Linked DNA regions of Diceros bicornis minor. Each later gene encodes a partner of the first gene's protein in a complex. Links are inferred from orthologs where the notes say so. Each region holds a gene or a part of one and is shown in the gene's direction. Other genes may lie near its edges. The genes, in order: IZUMO1 and IZUMO1R.

Region 1 (11,657 bases):
AACATTCCAGCCCAGGGACAGGTCAAGGCTAAGGTCAAGCAGAGGCATTTGGCTGCCACCCAAGGTCTTGGTCCCTCTACAGGCCATGGGTTCCCTGAGTGACCCCACGTCCAGGATGAGCCAGGCCCACAGGAACCCGTGTGGTCAGCAGGGGTTACTAGTCACAAGACTTGGCCTCTCAGGCCACTCTGCCATTCGCAGGCCTCGTGACTCAGGGCTGGTCCTGGATCTGCCTGAGCCTCGGTTTCCTCTTCTCGCAAACGTCGCTAACAACGGCTCCCACCTCCAGGGCTTTCGGTGAGGTTGGGGCATGCAGAGAGTGTAGAACCAACCAAGCCTGGCCTGGGGCCACAGGTGCAAGATGTGCTACCCCAGATTGTGAAGATGATTGGAGGAAGGGTGGAGTGCAAGGAGGGGGGTCCCGGAGACTCACCGATCCATACAGCGTCCCATCTGGCCCCTGGCACAGAAACCTGGATGTCTTGACTCCCAAGATTTGTATGACTCCTGGCTTCAAGGCTTTCAGCTCCAAGAGACCTGAGCGGAGAGATTGGTCAGGGATTCACAGGGCCTTTTCCCAGCCCCCTCCTCCCTCAGACCCAGAGGTCCAGGCTTCCAGCCCCTCCTCCCTCTGACCCAGGAGTCCAGGCCCCCAGCCCCTCCTCCCTCAGGACTAGGCCCTGCCCCCACACTCACTTTCAGGGCTCCGGTGGGCAGCCCCTGCCACTGTGCCATCAGCCCTGATCTCCAGGTGGGCCTCTGTCTCCTGGGCGTCGTCTGTGTAGAGATAACGCAGCCGGACTTGGCCCCCGAATTGGAGGAGGGGGCTGGAGTCAGGGATGGGGTGTGCCTGGCAGGCTCCCAGTAGAAAGACAGCCAGCACAGGGACCCACAGTCCTGGGTGCTCCAACCCGGCCTTGTTCCAGTCCATCAATGGCTCACGTCCTCAGGCGAGGTCTGGGGTCTAGGATTTGAAGAGCTGAATGGTCTAGATTCTGTTTCAGATCCTGGTGGTCTGGGAAAGCAGATTCACGGATTGCTGCTCAGAGAGCCCAAGTGCCTGGGTCCTCTCGCATGTGGACTCCCAGCTGAGAGGACAGCCAAGTCTCTTGGGATGGATGCAGAAGCTCGGGAATTTATATCCTGACAGACCTGCCCAATCACCTTCCCCATGCCTGACCCATGATATTTGACCCACTTGGCGGTAGCTAGGACTCTACCGTGGCCAGGTCAGCCTGAACGGATGATGCAATCAGGGGGTCCTTCCAGCTAGGGGCCTGGACTCCTGAGTCTGGGGGAGGAGGGGGTTGGGGGCCTGGACTCCCAGGTCTGGGGGATGAGGGGCTGGGGGCCTGGACCCCTGGGTCTGAGGGAGGAGGGGCTGGGGGCCCGGACCCCTGGGTCTGAGGGAGGAGGGGCTGCAGGTCTGCACTCCGGGGTCTGAGGAAGGAGGGGCTGGGTCTGGACCCCTGGGTCCGAGGGAGGAGGGGCTGGGGGCCCAGAGTCCTGGGTCTGAGGGAGGAGGGGCTGGGGCCCAGACTCCTGGGTCTGAGGGAGGAAGGGCTGGGGGCCCTGGACTCCTGGGTCTGAGGGAGGAGGGGCTGGGGGTCTGGACTCCTGAGTTTGAGGGATGAGGGGCTGGGGCTGGACTCTGGGATCTGAGGGAGGAGGGGCTCGGGGCCCCACTCTTGAGTCTGAGGGAGGAGGGTCTGGAATGTTGGAAAACCGCCTCCCTGGCTGACTGATGCAGACTGTGTCCCACCACTGGAATTTCTGCATTCCACCTGAATTTCTAGGTTTCTGGGGGTCACTGAGGTTCCTTGATCATCAGGAAAGCACCAACTGCCACATGACAAAGCATCCTGCACAGGGACACAGGTGTCCTGGCCTTTAGCCTCTCGCCTGACCTCAAGCCAACCTCAACGTCACTAACCCCTGCCCAGACACCCAAGGTCCAGGCCGCCTCCTCCTCCCTGATGTAATCCTGGTGTTTCTTTCACCAGAGAAGCTACGGCAGGCCCAAACAGGCGCTCCAAAAATAGCGTGGGAGTGGGGGCGGGGAGGATAAAAGTCTCTGACTCAGAGTTGGCAGCAGAGCCAGACTCTTGAGGGGGCTGAGGGAGCCCAAAGGGAATGCGGTGTGGGCAATTTCCTGAAACCTACGGGTGCAGGGACTGGACACTCGGGTCTGAGGGAGGAGGGGGCTGGGGGCTGGACTCCCGGGTCTGAAGGAGGAGGGGCTGGGGGCTGGACTCCCGGGTCTGAGGGAGGAGGGGCTGGGGGCTGGGATTTCTGGGTCTGGAGAAATTGTGGTCAAGTCTCTGAAGCGTTAGGTCGAATTCCTGAGTCTTTGACTTTGATTTATTGAATGACAATGGTCAGACAGCTCGGCCGGGTGGGTGGAGGGGGGAGCCGCCTTCCGCAGTAGAAACAGCTTCAGGTCTGCAGGGGAGCAGAGGCCTTTGTTCTGCGCCAGCAGCCGCGCCCTCAGCGGGAGGCAGGGAAGACACACTCTCTTCCACTCCAGCTTTCTTCATTCCCCTCCTCGACAAAGGCTGCCTTCGCCACGTGCCGGTCTAGAAAGCAGTAGTCAGGCGCCAGACCCTAGAATCCCCCAAAAGGAGAGGCTGGGGCCCGAATTTGCGAGTGGACGGGGCGGATATGGGGATCAGCTGCCCTTGGTGGGCGCGGGGACACCTTCAGGCTGGAGGCTCCCACGCCTGGGACCCTGAGAGCTGGAAGAGGCTGTCCAGGCGCTCCTGGAGCAGCCTGGCGAAACAGGTTCTCCATCTCCAACGGGAGGCTGCGGCAGGGGAGGAGGATCTCCCTCCCCGCCGGGACCTGGTGTTCCAGCCCTTCCCAGCGGCTGGGGCGTGGCCGGGCTGTGTGCATCCAGGTACACAGTGCAGACCCAGGCACCGGAGGGGAAGGGAGAGAGATCGACAGACCAGAACGCCTAGGTCCAGCATTGCAGCTGGGCGCTAGATCTCCATGTCCACGGAAGGATGCGGCTGCTAGGAGGCCAGGTAGGCTGCCCCGGGCGGAGCCTCCTCTCTGGCCAGTGCCGGGGAGGAGGGGGCTGGGTCGCGGTCCCCGGGTCTGGGGGCGTGGTGGTGGGGGCAGAAGGCGGGGGCTACCACCCTAGCCCCGGGCGCCAGGACTCCTCGCCAGGGAAGGGGCGGGGCTCCGCCTAGGAGCTACCTGCGAGGCAGCCCAGGAGGGGCGGAGGCTGTGAATTCCGGACCGCGCCCCCGTCTCCATCCTCCCCTCCCCGAGCCCTTGCAGCCAGTCCCGGGAGGCGGCGTGGAGGGGAGGGCTGCTGGGCCTGGGAACCTGGAGTCCGGGGTTCCGGGGACGGCCGGATGTGGGCCGCACTTCCAGACCGTGCGCTCCAGCCACGCCAGGCCGTCTGTGGATCTGCCACCCGCCAGGAGCTCAGGTGAGTGAGAACTGCGGATGCCTCGGACCCAGCAATCGGGGCCTTCAGTCCGCCCAACTCCTAACCCCGTGCAACCGGAGGAGTCTCCCCACCCCCACTCCCCACTCCTGCTCCTCCAGGGACCAAGATCCCTCATCCAGTCCTGGGCCTACAGCCTCACATGTTCCTCTTGGCCTGTTGCTCCTGGTCACCTCGGTGGTGGACTCTGCCCCTCATACACCTGGGAAAGGAGTTGGTGGAACATTGGTCCAACTTCAGTGGCCCTTCCAGGCCTGGAGAGCGAGATTCCAAGATGTGGGGATGAGGAGCTGGATCCTGGACCACTGCTGTCTAGGAAACCACCAATTTATCACCATCTCCCATCCTCATCCCCTGAAATTGCAAGCCCCCAGCTTCTCCTCTCTCAGATCCAGGAGTCCTGGACCCTGATCCCCCTTTCTCTCAGACCCAGGGGGCCGAAACCTTAGTTTCCTCATTGTGTCTCAGGCTCTGAGCACCTGCTAATTCACCTTTCCTCCCCTGCAGCCATGTGGGCCCCTAGCCCACGTCATCTCTGTCTGACCTTCCTGCTAGTCTGTGTTCTTTCGTCAGTCTTCTTCCTCCACGTCCACCAAGACCTCTTTCACAGTGGTGTAGACCTGTTTGCCCTGTGTCCAGACCGCCGCGTGGTGACATCTCGTGTGTCCATCTTATGCCTGTCGGGCACGCCAATGACCTCCAACACCTCCCTTTCCTGTCCGGAGCAGCCTGCCTCCCTCACAGGAACCTGGACCATCTACCCAGATGGCCGGTTTGGTAACCAGATGGGGCAGTATGCCACGCTGCTGGCCCTGGCCCAGCTCAACGGCCGCCAGGCCTTCATCCTGCCCGCCATGCACGCCGCCCTGGCCCCCGTGTTCCGCATCACCCTGCCTGTGCTGGCGCCCGAGGTGGACCGCCACACGGCTTGGCGAGAGTTGGAGCTGCATGACTGGATGTCGGAGGAGTATGCCCGCTTGAAGGAGCCCTTGCTGAAGTTCACTGGCTTCCCCTGTTCCTGGACCTTCTTCCACCATCTCCGAGAACAGATCCGCAGCGAGTTCACCTTGCATGACCACCTTCGGCAAGAGGCCCAGGCTTTACTGAGTCAGCTCCACCTGGGCCGCACGGGGGGCCGCCCGAGCACCTTTGTGGGTGTCCACGTGCGCCGTGGGGACTATCTGCAGGTTATGCCCCAGCGCTGGAAGGGTGTGGTGGGCGATCGCGCCTACCTCCAGCAGGCTATGGACTGGTTCCGGGAGCGGCATGAAGCCCCCATCTTCGTGGTCACCAGCAACGGCATGGGGTGGTGCCGGGAAAACATTGACACCTCCCGGGGGGATGTGATCTTTGCTGGCAATGGGCAGGAGGGCTCACCGGGGAAGGACTTTGCGCTGCTCATGCAGTGCAACCACACCATCATGACTATTGGCACCTTCGGCTTCTGGGCTGCCTACCTGGCTGGTGGAGACACTGTCTACCTGGCCAACTTCACCCTGCCCGACTCCAACTTCCTGAAGATCTTTAAACCTGAGGCTGCCTTCCTGCCTGAGTGGGTGGGCATTAATGCAGACTTGTCTCCACTCCAGACACTGGCAGGGAGACTTCCTGGAATAGCCTGATTGATCAAGGGCCAGCATTGTGCTTCTCTGGAGGCCTAGCAGCTTCTGGAGAAGGTTGTGGTCCTGCAGCAGGTGGGTACCCACTTCTAGAGTGATTCTAGTTGGCTAGAATTTGAAAGAAAGGGGGGCTTTCTGCAACTGCCTGAATGTTCTAGAACCATCAGAAGATCTTTTTCCTGATGGCTGGCAATGTCTGGAGAAGCTCCTGGCAGTTCTAGAAGGCACAGTGCCCACCTGCTCTTCAAGCCCATATCCAGAGTACTTCTAGATGACTGCCCCCCAGGAACGGGGAACTCCCCCCTCTAGTTGACCATCCTGGTCTTTTCTAGAAGAGATGTTTCTCCTCCCCTGGATCCTCAGGACTGAAGGAACTCGGGTGGTTCTAGAGGAAGCACTCACCAACTCCCTTTCTGTGTTTCTGGGGTGATTTTAGAGGGGAGGACTTGCTTTAGAGAGGGCCAGTTCTAATGCCTGTGAAGAAGCCTGCAGGGCCCTTCCAGAGGGGATGGGGTTCTGGAATTCCAGATGACTTCAGCGAAGAATCTAATGAAGGTACTACCAGAAGCTCAACATGTCACCACTGCCAGAAAGATTGATAGAAGACAGTCTCTCAGTAGCTGCAGAAGTGTGTGAGCAGAGCGGAACTCTATCCCACCTCTCAGCACCTGAAAAAACCACAAAGACTTTTTTGGGGAGCAGATAGACTTAAAAGGTGGGAAGTGGGGAAGAGGGCTGTCTTGCTGAAGTACTGCAGCTTTTGGAGCAAGGCTTCCAGAAATCCAGGGACACTTTTTTTTTTAAGCTCAAAAACTGCCAAAGACAGGCACTGCACATCTTGGCTCCGAGTTCGGGTTGTCTCTTCCCAATTAAGCTGGGCTGCTGGGGGTGATGGGATCGATTTTCTGGAACTTTCTGGAAGTCAGCTGGCATAAACGTGCCCTCTGGGCTTGCAGAAAGCTGCAGGAGTTGTTCCCCTTGGCAATCATCGTCTGCCCCTGAATTCACAGAGCCACTAAATCTGGCTTTGGGCAAGTCGGAGATGAAAGGGTCTGAAGGGATGCAGACCCGGGATTGGCCTCAGACACAGCCAGGAGGGGTCTGGCCAAGGAGATTGGGATTCTTGACTCAGATTTCAGGAGCCCCTTGGTGCTTTTTGAAGGGGGTAAAGGTAGATACTTTATCACAGTTGTCTAAGAATCTAAGCCCCTTTTCTAGTCTTCTCAGGGAGTGTTGGGGGACCATTCCCTACTCAGCTGCCATAGGTGGGAGAGTGGGAGATATGAATTAAAAGTCCACCTCACCAACCCGTGTCTGCAATTTCTTTTGGAGTCTTGTGTGCCCGAGTGTGTGTGTGAGTGAGTAGGATGAAAAGTGGGGAACTTCCGGGGACTGTCATGACTCATGTCTTGGGGTATTGTCTCTGCTCAGATCTGGCAGCCTCTTGTTGCCGGACTTGTGTGAGCTGTGGTCTCTGAGCCCCAGTTCTTTTCTTCGGGACTCAGTATTGGCCCCCAGACCTCTCTTCCTCTGAGGCCTTGGCGCCCGGTCCCAGAAACGGGAGAGAAAGTGGAGGGAGTGGGCCAGAGTGTAATTCTTGAACTACATTTCCCATAAAGCTATGGGGTTGGCTGCGGTAATCAGCTAGGGAGAGACCCCGAGGCCTTCTGGGAGTCGTAGTCCTAGGGCTAGAAAGGGCCACGTCCCTCGTCTTTGTGGCTCGACGCCAGGGTTTCCAAAGGGCAGTGGGCATCTAGCCGGAAGCCTCGGTCCTGGGCCCAGGGAGGGGAGGAAGCTGAAGGTCAGAAGCCAGTTCCTTGGCCCTGGAAAGCTAGAGCAGACACGGTACTTCCCTTTCTGTAGATGCTGGGAAAGTTCTAGTCTGAAAAGACGGCCGCCTCTGTGACATCAGAGCGATAGGCGGGGCCTCCTTTTGTTGGAGTCCAATCAGATTCAGAGTTGGGCTTCTGGGCGGGGCCAAGGAAACCCCAGGGAATATGTCTAGGGAATTGGGCCCCTCGTGGGAAGCTAGAAGGCGGAGGCTGTGGGAGTTCCCTGTAGATAGGAGCGAACCGTGACTCTGACCCCAGTCAAAAGCCCCCTATACCATGCAACCATCCTCATCCTCGCCCCCAACAAGATCCTTAATTTTAGTCGTGGGAAAATATTAGATTGGAAGGACGTGGCCCCGTCGCCTTCTCTTAAAAGCCCTCGGAACTTGGACTCGGCTCTTCAGCGAACCCTAGTGTTTGAGGGTACAACAGTCAGGAGTCAAGGTCGGGCAGCGGTTGTTTAGGGTGCATCGGGACTTCTCGGTTTCCTAAAGAGAAGGGTGAGCCCTGCAAACGCGGGGTCCGTTAGTCTCGGGGAGGGGCTTCTCTCGGTTTGGCTCTCACCTCCTCTCGGTTTGGGGTGAGAGAACCACCCCCCACCCCCCGGCTCTGCGCGCTCTGGCCGCGATGGGGCCACGACTTCCCCTCCTGGTGGTCGCGCTGGCCGGCTGTCTGCTTCCTGCCCGAGGCTGTGTCATGTGTGATTCAGAGGTCGTGGAGGCGCTAAACTCCTTGGAGAAGGATTACCTGCCTGGCCACCTGGAGCCCAAGCATCACAAAAACGTGATGAAAAGGGTAAAGCAAGCCGTGCAGGATTTCAAGGAACTGCCGTTTGACGAGGATTCCTATATGGGGGTCGTCGGTGAGGGCAGGGCGGAGCGCGGACTTTTGGGACCTGGGAAAGGAGGGGTCTGGGGCCAGAATTGCTGGGTCCAGGGGGGAAAGAGCTGGAGGCGGAGTCTCCTGGGTTCGGAAATGGAGAAGGGTGGGACCCAGATTCCGGGGTTCCCCAGGGCCAGCGGATATCGTGTTCTCGTACCCCTTATCCTGTAATTTTATGCAAAGAAAACTACAACTCCCAGAAGGCAACGGGCGGGTAACCCCCTTAACCAGGCCTATTCTTGCCCAGTGGACCCATGGGTATTGTAGTTTCTAAGACTAGGAGAGCCAATGAGACTCCAGTAACGCTGAAATCTGGTGTTCTATCTCCCCCCACAGATGAGCCCACACTGAAAAAGGCATCCTGGAGTTTCCTGAAGGATCTGAAACGCATCACGGACAGTGATGTAAAAGGTAAATGCACAGAGCTGCCAGGGGAGGGGCTCCAGAATCTCTCAGGGAAGTAATCGCTAGTGGCGCCTGGTCTGGTGGTCAGATACCGGGCTCCGGAGCCAGACTGCCAACGTTCAAATTCTGGCTCTGCCACTTTCCAGCTGTATGGCCTTGAGCGAGGGATTTCGCAGCTTCCTCACCTCTAAAAATGGAGACCATAACAGTGTCTTCATCCCAGTTGTTGCTTAGTCAAGTGGCCAGTATTATGTTAAGTGGTCATTCAATTTCACTCTTCTTCCCTGAGAATGCCCGAAAGCAGAATGCCAGGCTCTGCAGACAGAGGCAAACTTCCTGTACCTCACACCTGGGAAGGGGTGGGGGGTGGACCCACTCCGCGTCATCCTGCTTCTTCCCAGGTGAGCTCTTCGTGAAGGAGCTGTTCTGGATGTTGAGCCTGGAAAAGGACAACTTTGCCAGCTACGCTGCTCAGTTCCAAAAAGAGGGTGAGGGAAAATGGGACCCCAGCAACCCAGCCTCCTCCCTCCACAGTCCAAGAGTCCCTGTCCCCAGCCCCTTGCTTCTCCAAGTCTGGTCCCTCAGCTCTCACAACCCCCTCCTCCCTCAGACCCAGGGGTCCAGGCACCCAGGTCCTTCCTCCCTCAAACCCAAGAGCTCCCAGCCTCTTCCTTCACCCCCTCTGTCATCCCCTTTAACTTAGAAATCTGATTCTCATTTTTTTTCTTTCTCCGGAGGCAGCTTTTTGTCCCAACAAATGTGGTGAGTCCGGATTATGGGAGCTGGTCCTCTATGCCTCATCCCTGCCCCGTGAATACCCAGCCTTTCGCCTCCCCCGTTTGGGTCTCGGGGTTTCTTCATTCTCCGCGTCTAAGAGGTTCCTGGGTCTCCAGGATTCCTTCCGCGCTTCTGAGTTCTTGGGGAGCGAGTCACATTCTATTTGCGCTCTTCGCTGAGCCTTCCTACAGGGCTGCGTTCGAGCCCCGCCCCTCGGGCTGACCTCCTAGGGATCCGGCACAGGACCGCGCCCCAGCCCTTGGCCCTGCCCTCTTCTTTTAGCCCCTCCTCTTAGTAGGTGAACACAGTCTTGACCCTGCCCCCTCAGGTATGATGTTGCAGACTATGATCTGGTGCAGTAACTGCGAGAAGCAGGTTCACGCTTGTCGCAAGTCCTTGGATTGCGGGGGTGAGAGAGCTGGGCCCAGCAGGAGGTGTGGGCGTGAGAGGGGCGGAGCCAGAGGAGAGACTGAGTCTAGAGGGGCCGGATGCTGGAGCCAGCAGACAAGAAGAGGCGGGCCGAGACCGAGTGGAAGGGGGTGGGGGAAGGGCCAAGAATCTCACAGTGACCCCCCCATCCCCAGAGCGCAAGGTCAAGGTCCATCAAATGGAAGACATGATCCTGGACTGTCACCTCAACTGGCATCAAGTGTCTCAAGGCCTGACCGATTACAGCTTTTACAGGGTGGGGCCCTCCAACTCCTGTAACCCTTGAACTCCAAGTCCATCAGGCCGTGTGAGCCCCCTGGTCCCTGTATCCACACGCCTGCGCCCCCATGACCCATGGCCCACCAAGTTTGGCTTCTACTGACCCCCCGGGGACCCCATGCCCCGACCAGTACACCCTGGACTCCCATCTCCCACACCGAGGGCCTGTGATCTTCTCACCCCTGGACTCCCCCGACCCCTGAATTCCCCAGGCCTCTGTGACCCCTTGAGCTTGGGTCTAGGTTTGGGGGAACAATGCTGAGACCTTGGTGTCCAAGGGGAAAGAGCCCACCCTGACCAAGACCATGGTGGGTCCAGAGGATGAAGGCACCTACCGCTGCGAGCTGGGCACCGTGAGGTCCGGCCCAGCCACGGTCATCCATTTTCACGTCACAGGTCAGCACAGGGGAGCTGAGAGAAGTGTGGGTGGGATTCAAGGTCCTGGGGTGGGGGCTGTCAATTTCAGGGGGGCGGCCTATGGGGCTTAACTTCCCGTTGGGGTGTGGTTTCGGAGTGTGGCTTCCCGCCCTGGGTGTGGCCTCTGGCCATGGTGGCAGTGTTCCCCTCAGGGTTCCGGCTTCACGCAGTCGGAGGCGTGATTATCTCCTGGAGGGCCTGGGTCCTGCGGCGGGTTGAGGTGGGGAGGGCCTGCCTTGGCCACGGCGGGACCTTCGCGCCCTCCCAGGACGGCTCCTTCCTCCTCTTCTATCAGTGTTGCCCAAAAGAATTGAGGAGGAGATACCGTTACCAGGCGTCCCAACCCAGGGTGAGGTGACCTTGGCTCGCCCCCAGTCGCCCACAACCCTGCAATCTCCGCCGTCACTGTCGCTGAATCCCGTGAAGATGCTGCGAGGGCGCCTGATAGGGCTGCTGATCTGGGGCTCTGTGGTGCTAATAGCCTGCGTCGCGACCGTGTGAGCCGCCCACTGAAGGCAGGGCTTGGAGTGCGGGGCGGCGCTTCCAAAAACCTAACGCAGCGGGGTTTCTGGGAGCTACGGTGCTCTGAGCTGGACTTCCATTGGGGATGGGGCTTAGAAAACGGGGCGGGGCTTAGAAAACGGGGCGGGGCTTAGAAAACGGGGCGGGGCTTACCGGGGGGGGGGCGAAGCTTGGATAATTACTAGAACGAGGTCAGATATCGGGAGGCTGGGAGGGGTATCCCTCACTCGGTTAGGACCTCACCTGGTTCCGCTGTTTGCACCTACCCTCCCCCAGGATAATTTGCTTGCGGTCTGGGAAGATCCTCGATTCCGTGAAGTCCTGGTTTGGCACTGTCAGTGGAGCTGCTCAGCAATCCCAGGTTCCAGAGGAAAAGGCCAAGAAATCAAGGAGCAAATAAAGATTTATCTGGTTGTCTAAGTATCTGACTCACTCCTTGGGTCTGATCCTAACTTTTCCTTCCTCGAGAGGAGAGGTCTGGGGATGGTCTCCTGTCTGAGGAAGGAGGGGCTGGGAACCGGGCCCCCTGGGTCTTGGAAGGGACCAACTGGCTGCGGTGTTTAATTCCAGAATCAAGGAGCGGGGCAGGGCCAACCCTACCCAGATCTCCTCCCCCAGGCCCGGTCCCCTCACAGGACGCCCCCTCCCCGCTCTTCCTGCCGGGTTTCCTCTCTCCTTTTCCTGTCCCCCACCCAGTGCCGGGAGCTGGGGCAGAGGCTGAGCAGGAGCAGTGGGGTCAGGACCAACCCAGGCCAGCGGAGCCAGGGCCCCCGGGTGCTGCGGGGACCCGAAGCAGGGTAAGACTCTGGGACCCAGGAGTCCATCCCCAGCTGCCTCCCATCCCTCTCCTCCACCCCGACTCCTCGGAGCCCCAGCCCCCTCCGCCCTCACTCAGGAGTCCAAGTCCCCCTCCACCTCATCCCCACCACTCAGGGGATGCCCACCCTTCCTTAGGGCCATGCTATCTGGTGAACGGAAGGAGGGCGGAAGCCCCCGCTTCGGAAAGCTCCATCTCCCGGTGGGCCTGTGGATCAATTC
Region 2 (10,319 bases), on another chromosome or scaffold:
ATTCCGTGGGGTGGTGAGTAGAAGCTGAATAGCAATGGTTGATGAATTAATGTGAGGTGACACAGAAGAGCCACAATGAGCATACACAGGTCTTTCAGGAAGCATGGCTGGGAAGAGGGAGAGATGGGTTGGTAGCTGGCATGGAACTTTGGATCAAGGGATAGTTGGAGGGAGGGATGTTGGGAAGATTGAAAGAAAAACTTTATTGAGCTCAGATACACATTGTAAACCTGCATACAAATCACAGTTACTTGTTATTAACATTGTCGGGTAGACCCAGCAGCAGCTTGGTTTAAAGGTAACAATGGGATACTGGCACCAGGGAAACTTTGTGAAGACAGAAGGAGCTAGCAAGCTGCGAGAAAAGTAATCAGGACAGTAAAGCTCTGTGTTCTTTGTGTTACACCTTTCTCCCCTCTCTGGTTTTCAGCTAATCTCTTTCCCATAGGACTTTGATATTTTCTATCTCCCCTAAGTTAGACTCTCATCAACACCGGATAAGCTTCACAGTCATTTCCTCTGCTGTGATTAAAACTAAAATTGGCCTTCTTCAAGTGGTGATGAAAGGCCCCAGCATTAACACTCCGAAATGTCACGGAAATCATCAGAAACTAAAGATGTTCCAGGCTGAAAGTCTGAGACTGAGGGAGAAAATTGGAAGGGAGAGGGAAGTGTGAGGGGAGAGAGAGAGAGAGGAGAGGGAGAGGACAGAGGAGAAGGGTAAGGAGAGGGGATAGGGAAGAGAAAATAAAGAGGTTAAACTAGAGGGAGAAGGATAGGTAAGGATAGAATCAAGAAGAGAGAAAGGAGAGGAAAGAAAGAGAGGAGGGAGGGGAGAGAGATGAGCCAGGGGAGAAGGGGAAATATAGGAAGGGGAGTGAGAAGGATGGAGGGGGACAAGAAGGATGGGGGTAAAAAGGATTGAGGGGAGAGAAAGATGGAGGGTGAGAAGGATAGAGGAGGGTGAGAAGGATAGAGGGGGGTGAGAAGAAGACTGAGAAGGATAGAGAGGGGTTAAAGGGAGGGAAAGCAAGAAGGATGGAGAGGGGCAAGAAGGATGGAGGGATGTGAGAAAGATGAAGGGGGTGAGAAGGATGGAGCAGGAAGGAGAGACAAGAGAGTTCATTTTAAACTAGAGAAGAAAGATAGGTGAGGCTAGGATAAGGGGGAGGAAGGAAGAGGGGGAAGAGAAGGAAGAGGGAGGGCAAGGAGAGGGGATAGGTCAGGTTAAACTAGGGACCTGTCTGAATTAAAACAATGTTTGTAAAAAATGCAGTTTATTCTACTCAGGTATTTCTCCTTATTTACTCTACAAACATGTACTGACCAGGCCTACCAGATCGGGCACTGCGCCTGCCCCAAGCTGCTCCCAGCCAGAGGCAGGGGAGACTACAAGCAGACATTCACAAAGGGGCGGTAAGTGCATGACACAGCAGGAGTAAGAGGGAACATCTCTCCAACCCTGGGGGGGACCACACAAGCTTCCCTGAGCAGAAGCCAGCAGTTTGGGAGTTGAGGGATAAGAAGGTGTTACCAGGCATGGAGGGTGAGTTCTGAGAGAATAGCTTGGCAGAGGAACCACGTAAGAGTGCAGAGCAATTACAGACATCAGGGGTGAGGAATGCCTGTAGCGTAGATGAGAGAAAGGACTGCTGACTGGGATGGAAAAGGACATCGGAACTAGATGAAACATGGTCTGTGTGCCATATTAAGGATTTGGGACTTATCTTTAAGTCTAGAAGGGTCTTAAACATGGGAATATCATAACCATCTTTACCTTTTAATAAAACCATTCTGAAAGAAAAAAGCCTGCAGACAAATGTTGAACTCTGGTTAATGATACGCACGTTTGAATTATTTAGGAGGAAGTATGCTGATGTCTGCGATTTACTTTGAAACGCATGAAAAACAAGAAGATTGATGGCTGGCTAGAAGGCTGGATGGTTGGCTAGCTGTGTGACAAAGAAAATACAGTAAAATGGTAACAGTGAAATCTAAGTGGTGGGTATATGGGAGTTCACTGTAAAATTCTCTCAACTTTCCTTGTTTGAAATTTTTCATAATAAGGTACTGGGAAATTAGATCATTCTGGCAGCTGCTTGCATAAATATTTGGAAAGGGGCAAGCGAGCCAGTTAGGAGGTTGTTGCACAAATTGAAGCAAGAGATGATCATGACTGGGACAGGCATAAAGAGAGAAACAGGCATAAAAGAACCCGAATTCAAGAGAGATGCAGAAAGTTAAACCAACCACTTTGGTGGTGAGATGGATATAAAGGGAAGGAAGAGGTGGGGATAAACAACACCCCTGTCTTACCTGCCCTAGTAACAAACCAATTATGAGTTGAGACAAGCATGGTCACTAGATTTGGGGGAGAGGAGAAGGACTCATAAGACCCACTAAGAACTCTGAATCACTGATGGCCCCTCAGCTGGCCTCTGATTTCAGCTTCTCATCAGGAGATTCCTGGCACAAGTTCTTTGTTGTCTTAGTCTGTTCTCAAATTCAATGGGCTTCAGCACCTTGGGCAACCTCGTGTGTAGGGGAAAGAAGGAGAATTATTACTGCCCACCTTGTGCTATGTTCCGTAACCAGTGAGGCTGGGCTGCTCGCCCTCCCTTCAGAACCCTCTGAACGCTGCTGTAGCGCTGCTCTTGGCAATTTAAGTGTTCTGTTTTGTTTTTTTAGAACAAAATTGTTTGAGATCAGCAGCTTCAAATGGCTTCATCCACAACCAGCTTTGGTTTATCAGCTTTCAGTCAGGAAACAGATTTCTCTAGAAGACTCAATCACAATAAGGGAAAAATGAGTTTTCTTCACGGGCTGCAGACTGCCCCTCTGGGGAGCAGATGTTGTCCAGCCTGATGGCTCTCTGAGTGGCAGCCTCCAGAATCCCTCCCTGCCTGCTTCCCCTGCCCCTGTGCTGGCTGTAATTTCAGCTCATTTCCTACAGCCTTGTCCAAGAGACTGTTAGCAAATCCTTCCTCGTCCTTCTTCCCTACACGTGAAGGACATTTACCAAAGGACATGTTTTCTATGTCAGTAATTACTCCTGCACTTGATTTCAGCATTCTTGTCCCTGCCATGTCCACAGCCATCTGAAACTTAATGTTAAACCCAAACTCTTACCTCGTCAAGACTTAGAGCTTCCTGAGTATCTGTGAGGACTCGAATAGGACATGCACCTGCTCGTCCCCTGCTGAGTGGACACCTGTGGGAAGAGACCTGTGCTGCAGAAATGTAATTACTATTTGGTATCGGACCCTAAAAAGGAGACTCCTCACTCTGCTTAAGGCTGGGATATGCGAGGCAGGGCTGGTGACCATCACTGTTCCCCAAAAAAGCTGACACGTGCCTCTCAACACAAGCAGATTTGACTTTGATTTGTGAATGACACAAATCAGGCATGACTTTTATTTAACGCTTTTATTGTTTTGGTTTAATTTCCTATGTATCGATAAAACTTCAGTGATGTTGGCTACTTCTCCTTTGGAGAGAGAACATGTTATAAGAAACAGGCAAAGAGACAGGCTCCTTTTTCAGAATTTTCATCATGTTCGGGACTCGCCTACAAGTCCTGTCCAAGTCTCCTAGCCTCTCCTTAGTTGAGAAGGATGCTGTGTGAATATCACTGCTGAGAACATTTGTAGAATATTTCACAGGACAACGGCCCCTTCACACTAATGGGGGCTGGTTCCTGGGTTGTAGAGGAACTTTGTTGTTTTGTTTATTTTGGCTTTGGTCATGCACTTGAATTCTTGGGTCCCCAAGGCCCAGCTTTATCTTGGCATCTCTGTACTGCTGGGTCTGCTCCCCAGCAGGAACCTTAGCTCCAATCACCAGGTGGCCCATCCCAGGTAACTATGCTGATGAAGGAGCAGGTAGAAGCTGAGGAACAGCGCTGAGAGAGAGAGGCTTCACGGGATAAAAGGATAAGAAAGAAAACCGTTAAGACTTACTCTGTGCCAGGCACAATGCCAAGTCCTTTTCCTGAACTTTCATTTCTTTTTCCCAACAATCCTTTATAATATCCCTTTACACAGATAGGGAAACTGACAGAGTGTAAGCCATTTTCTCAAGGTCGTCCAGCTAGCAAGTAGCAGAGCTGAGAGCAGAACTCAGTAGCTGACTAAAGAGCCCGGGATCTCAGCCACTCTGGGGTCGCCACTGCTCTGAGAAAGGGAAACCCTCCCGGCTCCACCCCCAGGAGGCCTCTACACTTGGGTAAGAGGGATGCTGTTTAACTGGAGCCACCTGGAGTTCTGCCTCTGCACCTGGACCTAGGAGGAACGGGAGTGGGTGATAAATGGGTGGGATCATAGAATTCTCCTCAGCTTCACAAGCTCCGGCGGTGCGAGGGAGCAGCTCCTGCTTTGAAAGTGAGTATGAAGAACACACTGGAAGGGGCAGCATCTTTCTTCTTTTCACTGGGCATACATGATTCTCTAAAAATACTTGATGGCCATGTCTGTGCTCGAAACTGGTGCCGAGGAGAGAGAGCAGACTTAGGTTTAGAGTTGAGGATGGGCTGGGAAGGTGGGGCTGAAGTCTCCACCCTGGGATGTTTGAGGCTCTAAACTCGGACTAGGCCAGAGGTTTTCAGTTTCACCATGATGGGTCCATGGCCGGTTCCTGCAACGCCTGGAGGACTGAGGGAGCCATGGGGTCCTGGGTGGGTGAAGGCTGAGGGAGCCTTGTTTCCTAAAGGGTTAGGTGCTTGAAGCGAGTGCTCTTCTGCCCTTTTTTTTTTGGTCTCTCTTTCCACTCCCTCCTGTTACCAGTACTACCTAGACCAGAGCTGGAAACATAGTGCTCAAGAAACACCAAGGGAAGAGCCGGTCTCCTCATTCCTATAACAAGTATTGTCTTTTGGATGTGGAAGGCTCTCACATCTGACTCACGCCTGGGCATGCTCCCTGATCTGACATGCCAGCAAGGCCCCTGGGTGCACGGCTGCCCCAACTTGTGCTCAGGCTGGGTTTGAGATAGGTTGAGGCTGTTGGAAGCAAACTACTTCTCTAGGGGAAAGGACTCTGGCAAGAGGGGACTGGGGAGGGGACCAGCTGCTTGAGGAGCTATGGGCCCTCCGTGGACCCCTCAGAGGGGCTGAAGTTAGGGTTGACACTCGAGGGGGTAAGGCTTGCGTTTGTCACACTACCCAGTCCCACCATGCCCTTTGCTCCAGGTAAAATCTGGTTACTGAGCATTTGTTCAGTCACTCAGCCAGCATGGGGGGGCTCGCTGTGGACCAGGATCAAAGCTCTGAGTTCCCAGCCTATAAGTTGCTCAGTTGGTAAAGGCTGCCTCCAAGTGGAGAAGGGTCAGGAAAAGTTCCCCCAGGGAAGGCTGGAACCATTCTACCCTTGATCTTCACCTTAGGGCTGGTTTGTTCCCCCAACCCTGGGCTTCAGTTTCTGCATCTGTACAATTGTTGGGGGCAGGTGTCAGACCTGTCAGGTTTATTCCACCTGCCCTGACATTTAATGATGCTGCCTCAAACAGAGGTCCTAGGAGCAGCCAGAGTGTCATGGTCACTTGAGGGAGCCTTGAAGCCATACTAGCTCCCCAGGATAGTGAAGGGAATGGAGCAGGGTGTCCTTTCTATCATGTAAGCAAGTGGGTCTCCTCTCTGCAGTAGGCCATGGCATGCTGGTGGCAGCTCCTGCTAGGGCTGTGGACAGTCATGCCCCTCTGGGCTGGGGACGAGCTTCTCAATGTCTGCATGAACACCAAGCACCACAAGCGAGAGCCTGGCCCAGAAGACAAGCTCCACGAGGAGGTACAGAGGCCAGACCCGGTCTAGAGGTGGGAGGGGGCTGCTTTGGCAGATCAAGGAAGGGACACAAATACCAAGATGGTTTCTAAACCCCCATCAACCCTGACTCATTTGGTTCCTTAGGCTGGACTTTGGGCAAAGTCCACTAGAGGGGACTATGACCTTTTGAGACCATAATTGCCAAATGATTCAAAGTTGCCATCTCCCAGCTGCCCGGCCACTCGGGGAACAGGGGTTCCCCTTCTCCTTCTCCACCCTTCCTACCAACAGGCCCTGGGGAAATCCGTGACTTAAGGGACCTCTCCTCAGGCTCCTAAAGGCAATTGACAGGGATGAGGGAGGAGGAGCAGAGTTGGCATTTACCCGTGAGCCCTTCTCAGCTATGGTGCCCTCCCACCCAGTGCAACCCCACATTCCCCTGGGTCTCATGAGGCTCCTCTGCTGCCCCTCAGGAGCTGAGATCCCGGAAGTCACGTTTCTAGGGGACTGCAGCAGCCTGTGGCAGGGAAGTCAGCATGCAGGTGCCCTTTGGGTGTGAATGTTGACAAGTTATCAGCATTCCCTCTATACAGGGGGATGCTAGCCTAAAGGCATCCCACTTGCCCACATCCTCTTGTGGGGGACATTTTTATATCTCTGCCCTAGACACTCTTCAACCCCCTGCCTCTTACCACCCCCACCCCCGACACACACACACCTTTTGCTTCTTCCTCTACCTTCAGTGCATCCCCTGGAAGGACAATGCCTGCTGTACAGCCAACACCAGCTGGAAAGCCCACCTGAATGTGTCCCTGCTCTACAACTTCAGCTTGGTTCACTGTGGTTTGATGATGCCGGGCTGCCAGAAGCACTTCCTCCAAGCTGTCTGCTTCTACGAGTGCTCCCCGAACCTGGGGCCTTGGATCCAGCAGGTGGGAAGACTGGGCTGGGGAGGCAGGAGACACATCCATACAATGCCCTGCTACTAAGAGCCTGAGCTCCAGGATACTAGCAGGAACAGGAGATACATCCTCCTATGGACAAGAGCAGAGCCAGAGGCTGTTGTTGGGGAAAGGGTTGGAGAGGAAGCAGCCTCCAGCCGTGGAGAAGGACATGGGGGGAGACTGGTTAGATGAGAACAAAGGATGAGGGACTATTTGAATCCCATCTTTTGTATGTAGGAACAGAAGCTGTGCAGCCCAAGACAAACCTATTCATCCTCTTAGCCTCATTGTTCTCGTTTGTAAAATCATACTTAAAGACTTCATAAGAGAATATATTCAGATGGCACCTGGCACAAGCACCATTCTAGCTATCCATAGTCTTCAAATTGCTGCTATTAGTATTCTTGTCTCTTGCTGTGCCTGCACCCAGGTGGACCCAAGCAGGCAGGGAGAGCGGATTTTGGATGCGCCACTCTGCAGGGAGGACTGTGAGCAGTGGTGGGAAGACTGCCGCACGTCTTACACTTGCAAATCCAATTGGCATCATGGCTGGGACTGGAGTGGAGGTGAGTGGCACTTGACAGGGCACGGGGGAAAGCAGGGCCTGGGAGGCACCCTCCCTGGGGGCAGGTGCAAGCACCCTGTGCTCCCTCAGGGCAAATGATGGGGATTCGAGGGTGACAGGAGTGGAAGGTAAGTTGTCCGTGCCTCAACCCCCCACAGGTAAGAACCGCTGCCCTGCAAGGGCCCACTGCCACCCTTTCCCCCATTACTTCCCCACTCCGGCTGACCTGTGTGAGAAGATTTGGAGCAACTCCTTCAAGGCGAGTCCTGAGCGCAGGAACAGTGGTCAGTGTCTGCAGAAGTGGTTTGAGCCTGCTCATGGCAACCCCAATGAGGCCGTGGCCCGCCTCTTCGCCAGCCCTGCTCAGTCCTGGGAACTCTCCCACACTCTCATGGCCTTCTCTCTGTTCCTGTTGTTCCTTTCTTGAGAGCCCCTTCTCCTCCCACCCACACTCCTGCACTCCCCCACCTATGGCATGGCAGCCTCCTTCCTGGGTCCCTTCCTTAAGTGACTCAGCACAGGCTGGGGAGCTGGTGGGACATTGAGGCTACAGGAGCTGGTGCCTGAGAACTTGCACATTCGGTTCTAGGCCCCCTCTACTGCTCTGCTCTGCCTTTTCCTCCCTGGAAGGTAGCTGGGGGCTTGGATGGCCAAGGTGACCTGCCCCCTCCTGCCTTTATGGATGGTGGGGCTCTGAAGTGGGACTCCAGGCCCTTCTCCTCCAGTATACACCCTCCCCCTTCCCTGGCAGAGCTGATGGTGACAGCCCTGGCCTCCTGTCTCATGACGGTGCCTCCAATAAAACGGCAGTTGACCTTTCCTCTCTGCATGACCCACGCCGTCCTCACTTTATGGTCAAGGAGTCAAGCTACACAAAGAGGGAGGCAGTTTGCCTGCTGTACTGAAGTCGCAGAGTTGGCTGTTACTTACCATAATAATAATTAACTTCTTCACATGTGCCAGGCCCTCTTGTTAATCCTCACAACACCTCTCTGATGGGAGTCCTTTCAACATCTCCTTTTTTTTCAATAAGGGATACACCGTACAAAAGACCCAAATCCAGGATGAGGATGGGGCCACCCAGCCCATAGGCTCTATTTTGGACACCAAGATTGAAGCAGCTGCCTCAACTGCTTTCGGCTTTCCCTCTTCCTTTTAACCCCAGAATCACAACACACTGGTCTGGAATTTTGAAAGCCAGAGTTCTAATCCATCTTGACCACTTTCTGTATGACTTTTGGCAAGTGCTTTAACCTTTGTTTAAGACTGTCTTGGTTTCCCTCTCTGCTGAGGGGAATGAGGTAGTTGGACCATGTGATTTTGACCAACAAAGAGAAAAAGGAAAAAGCCAGTGCCGTTGTTTGTTGGCGTATAGTCTATGCTTCTCAGGCAGTGCTATGTCCTAAAGAATAAGACAGAACAGTTAGAACTGAAGCAGAGAAGGGGTGTGGAGGTGGCCTTCACATCCTTTCTGTAAGTGGACTGGCAGCCAACACACTCACCCAGAACCTTCCAAAACTGAAGCCCAACAGCTTCCCAGCATGGATGGTGCTTTCCCCACAACCTCTTCTTTGACAAAGAGAGGCTTCTAATACGCCTGCACTTCAGTTGGTTGGCTTTTCTAACAATTACTCATTCTCGCCAGAGACCAGCCAGCCCTGCTCATCAGTTAACTCCACCCGCCTTGCTCCCACGCTTACCTTGAATGTGAGCTTGCACTGAGCAAACCCTGTTACAGGTGGGCACTCCGATTCCAAAATGAAGAGAGTCCTTCCAAGTGATGTGCTCAGAGTCTGGAGCAGGAGACAGACAGCAGCAGGGGTGACAAAGCACTTCACTGGGTGTCTGCGAAAACAGGGGCTAGGCCGGGGTGGGAGTCCTGGGAAGACCTCACAAAAGAGGTGAAGCTTGAGCGCTCCCGGTGAAGAAGGGTCACTTCACTGAGAAGAGAAAGGAAATACTAGACAAAAACCAGCCGATTCCCCAAGGCATGAACCATATGATGGGGGAACTTGAACTGTTTTTAAATTAATAAATCGTGGCTGCAAAAATACATGTAGGTGAAATTTATTTTTTTTTTATTTTATTTTTTTCACCCAAAACCCCAGTAGATAGCTGCATGTCATAGCTGCACATCCTGCTAGTTGCTGTATGTGGGGCAAAAATACATGTAGGTAAAATTTTTTTAATTTTATTTATTTTTCACCCCAAAACCCCAGTAGATAGCTGCATGTCATAGTTGCACATCCTTCTAGTTGCTGTATGTGGGACGCGGCCTCAGCATGGCTGGAGAAGCGACGCATTGGTGCACGCCTGGGATCCGAACCCGGGCCACCAGCAGCGGAGCGCGTGCGCTTAACCGCTAAGCCACAGGGCCGGCCCAAAAATACATGTAGGTAAAATTTCTTAAGAACTGAGGACTGAATGAAGTGTCTGAGGGTATGTGCTTCATAATAAAGCTGAGTTTAGTGACTTTTTTTTAGTATTTTTAGGTATAAATATAAAAAATAGTCAAAGTAGGGTTAAAATTAGGGTGGACAAAACAAGACCAGTTCTGGGAGCCCTAATAACTATTAATATTTATTGATCACTTACTCTGAGCATAGGGGCTCTGCCAAGCTCCTGACACGCTTGCACTAGCTCATTTGATCCTCACAAAAGCCTTGTGAGCTACTCTTGTTCTCCTCATTTTCCAATTAGATCAGAAGCCTATGTAGCTTTGCAACCAGGTAAGTCTGACCCCAGAGCCCCAGCTTATAAGGCTCACACTGAGCATCCTGGTAAGTTGGTGAGCGGGGCTGAAGCAGATGTGGGGAGAGGAGGCTGGCTCACAGCAGGTCATGGTCAAGAAATAGAGACTGATCTCTCTCTCCATGTGTGGTTGGGAGGAGTGACGGGTAGTGGAGTGGAACTGTCAGGTTTGCAGTTATATTATTTGTTTTAATCAGAGTGATCCATGCACATGGCTAAAACACATAGGTCAAACCATCTCTAACACAGCAACAGAGCCCCAGCCAGCCAGTCCCTCGGCCCAAGAGCCCCTGCCCAGAGGCGC

What was found.
Region 2: the proteins of IZUMO1 (region 1) and IZUMO1R are in contact, whole or in part, in a crystal structure (PDB 5JKC), measured with the Homo sapiens proteins. The link is inferred for Diceros bicornis minor from reciprocal best matches to the Homo sapiens genes IZUMO1 and IZUMO1R. Residues at the interface, in NP_872381.2 of Homo sapiens: Met75, Val77, Tyr134, Val141, Leu146, Trp148, Lys150, Asn151, Lys153, Glu155, Val156, His157, Ala158, Arg160, Lys161, Ser162, Tyr163, Asn239, Ser240, Ser241, Pro242, Ile245; in NP_001186135.1 of Homo sapiens: Lys42, Tyr44, Glu45, Ile48, Leu58, Trp62, His65, Leu66, Asp67, Gly80, Leu81, Leu82, Met83, Pro84, Gly85, Arg87, Ile91, Met145, Ser146, Tyr147, Gln171.

What each region holds. Positions count from the first base shown.
Region 1 is NC_080773.1:24,354,643-24,366,299, reverse strand, and holds IZUMO1 (izumo sperm-egg fusion protein 1), read left to right. Parts: upstream 1-6,553; 5' UTR 6,554-7,535; coding exon 7,536-7,770; intron 7,771-8,126; coding exon 8,127-8,201; exon of another isoform or gene 8,202-8,388; coding exon of another isoform or gene 8,389-8,596; coding exon 8,597-8,683; intron 8,684-8,936; coding exon 8,937-8,957; intron 8,958-9,300; coding exon 9,301-9,381; intron 9,382-9,556; coding exon 9,557-9,657; intron 9,658-9,922; coding exon 9,923-10,076; intron 10,077-10,392; coding exon 10,393-10,594; intron 10,595-10,895; coding exon 10,896-11,019; coding exon of another isoform or gene 11,020-11,039; 3' UTR 11,040-11,052; downstream 11,053-11,657. Other genes in the region: FGF21 (fibroblast growth factor 21), read right to left, coding at 434-537, 697-931; FUT1 (galactoside alpha-(1,2)-fucosyltransferase 1), read left to right, coding at 3,967-5,079; RASIP1 (ras-interacting protein 1), read left to right, coding at 11,578-11,657. UniProt on the Homo sapiens protein: Essential sperm cell-surface protein required for fertilization by acting as a ligand for IZUMO1R/JUNO receptor on egg.
Region 2 is NC_080746.1:39,516,205-39,526,523, reverse strand, and holds IZUMO1R (sperm-egg fusion protein Juno), read left to right. Parts: upstream 1-5,641; coding exon 5,642-5,779; intron 5,780-6,498; coding exon 6,499-6,706; intron 6,707-7,127; coding exon 7,128-7,265; intron 7,266-7,422; coding exon 7,423-7,691; 3' UTR 7,692-7,991; downstream 7,992-10,319. UniProt on the Homo sapiens protein: Receptor for IZUMO1 present at the cell surface of oocytes (oolemma), which is essential for species-specific gamete recognition and fertilization.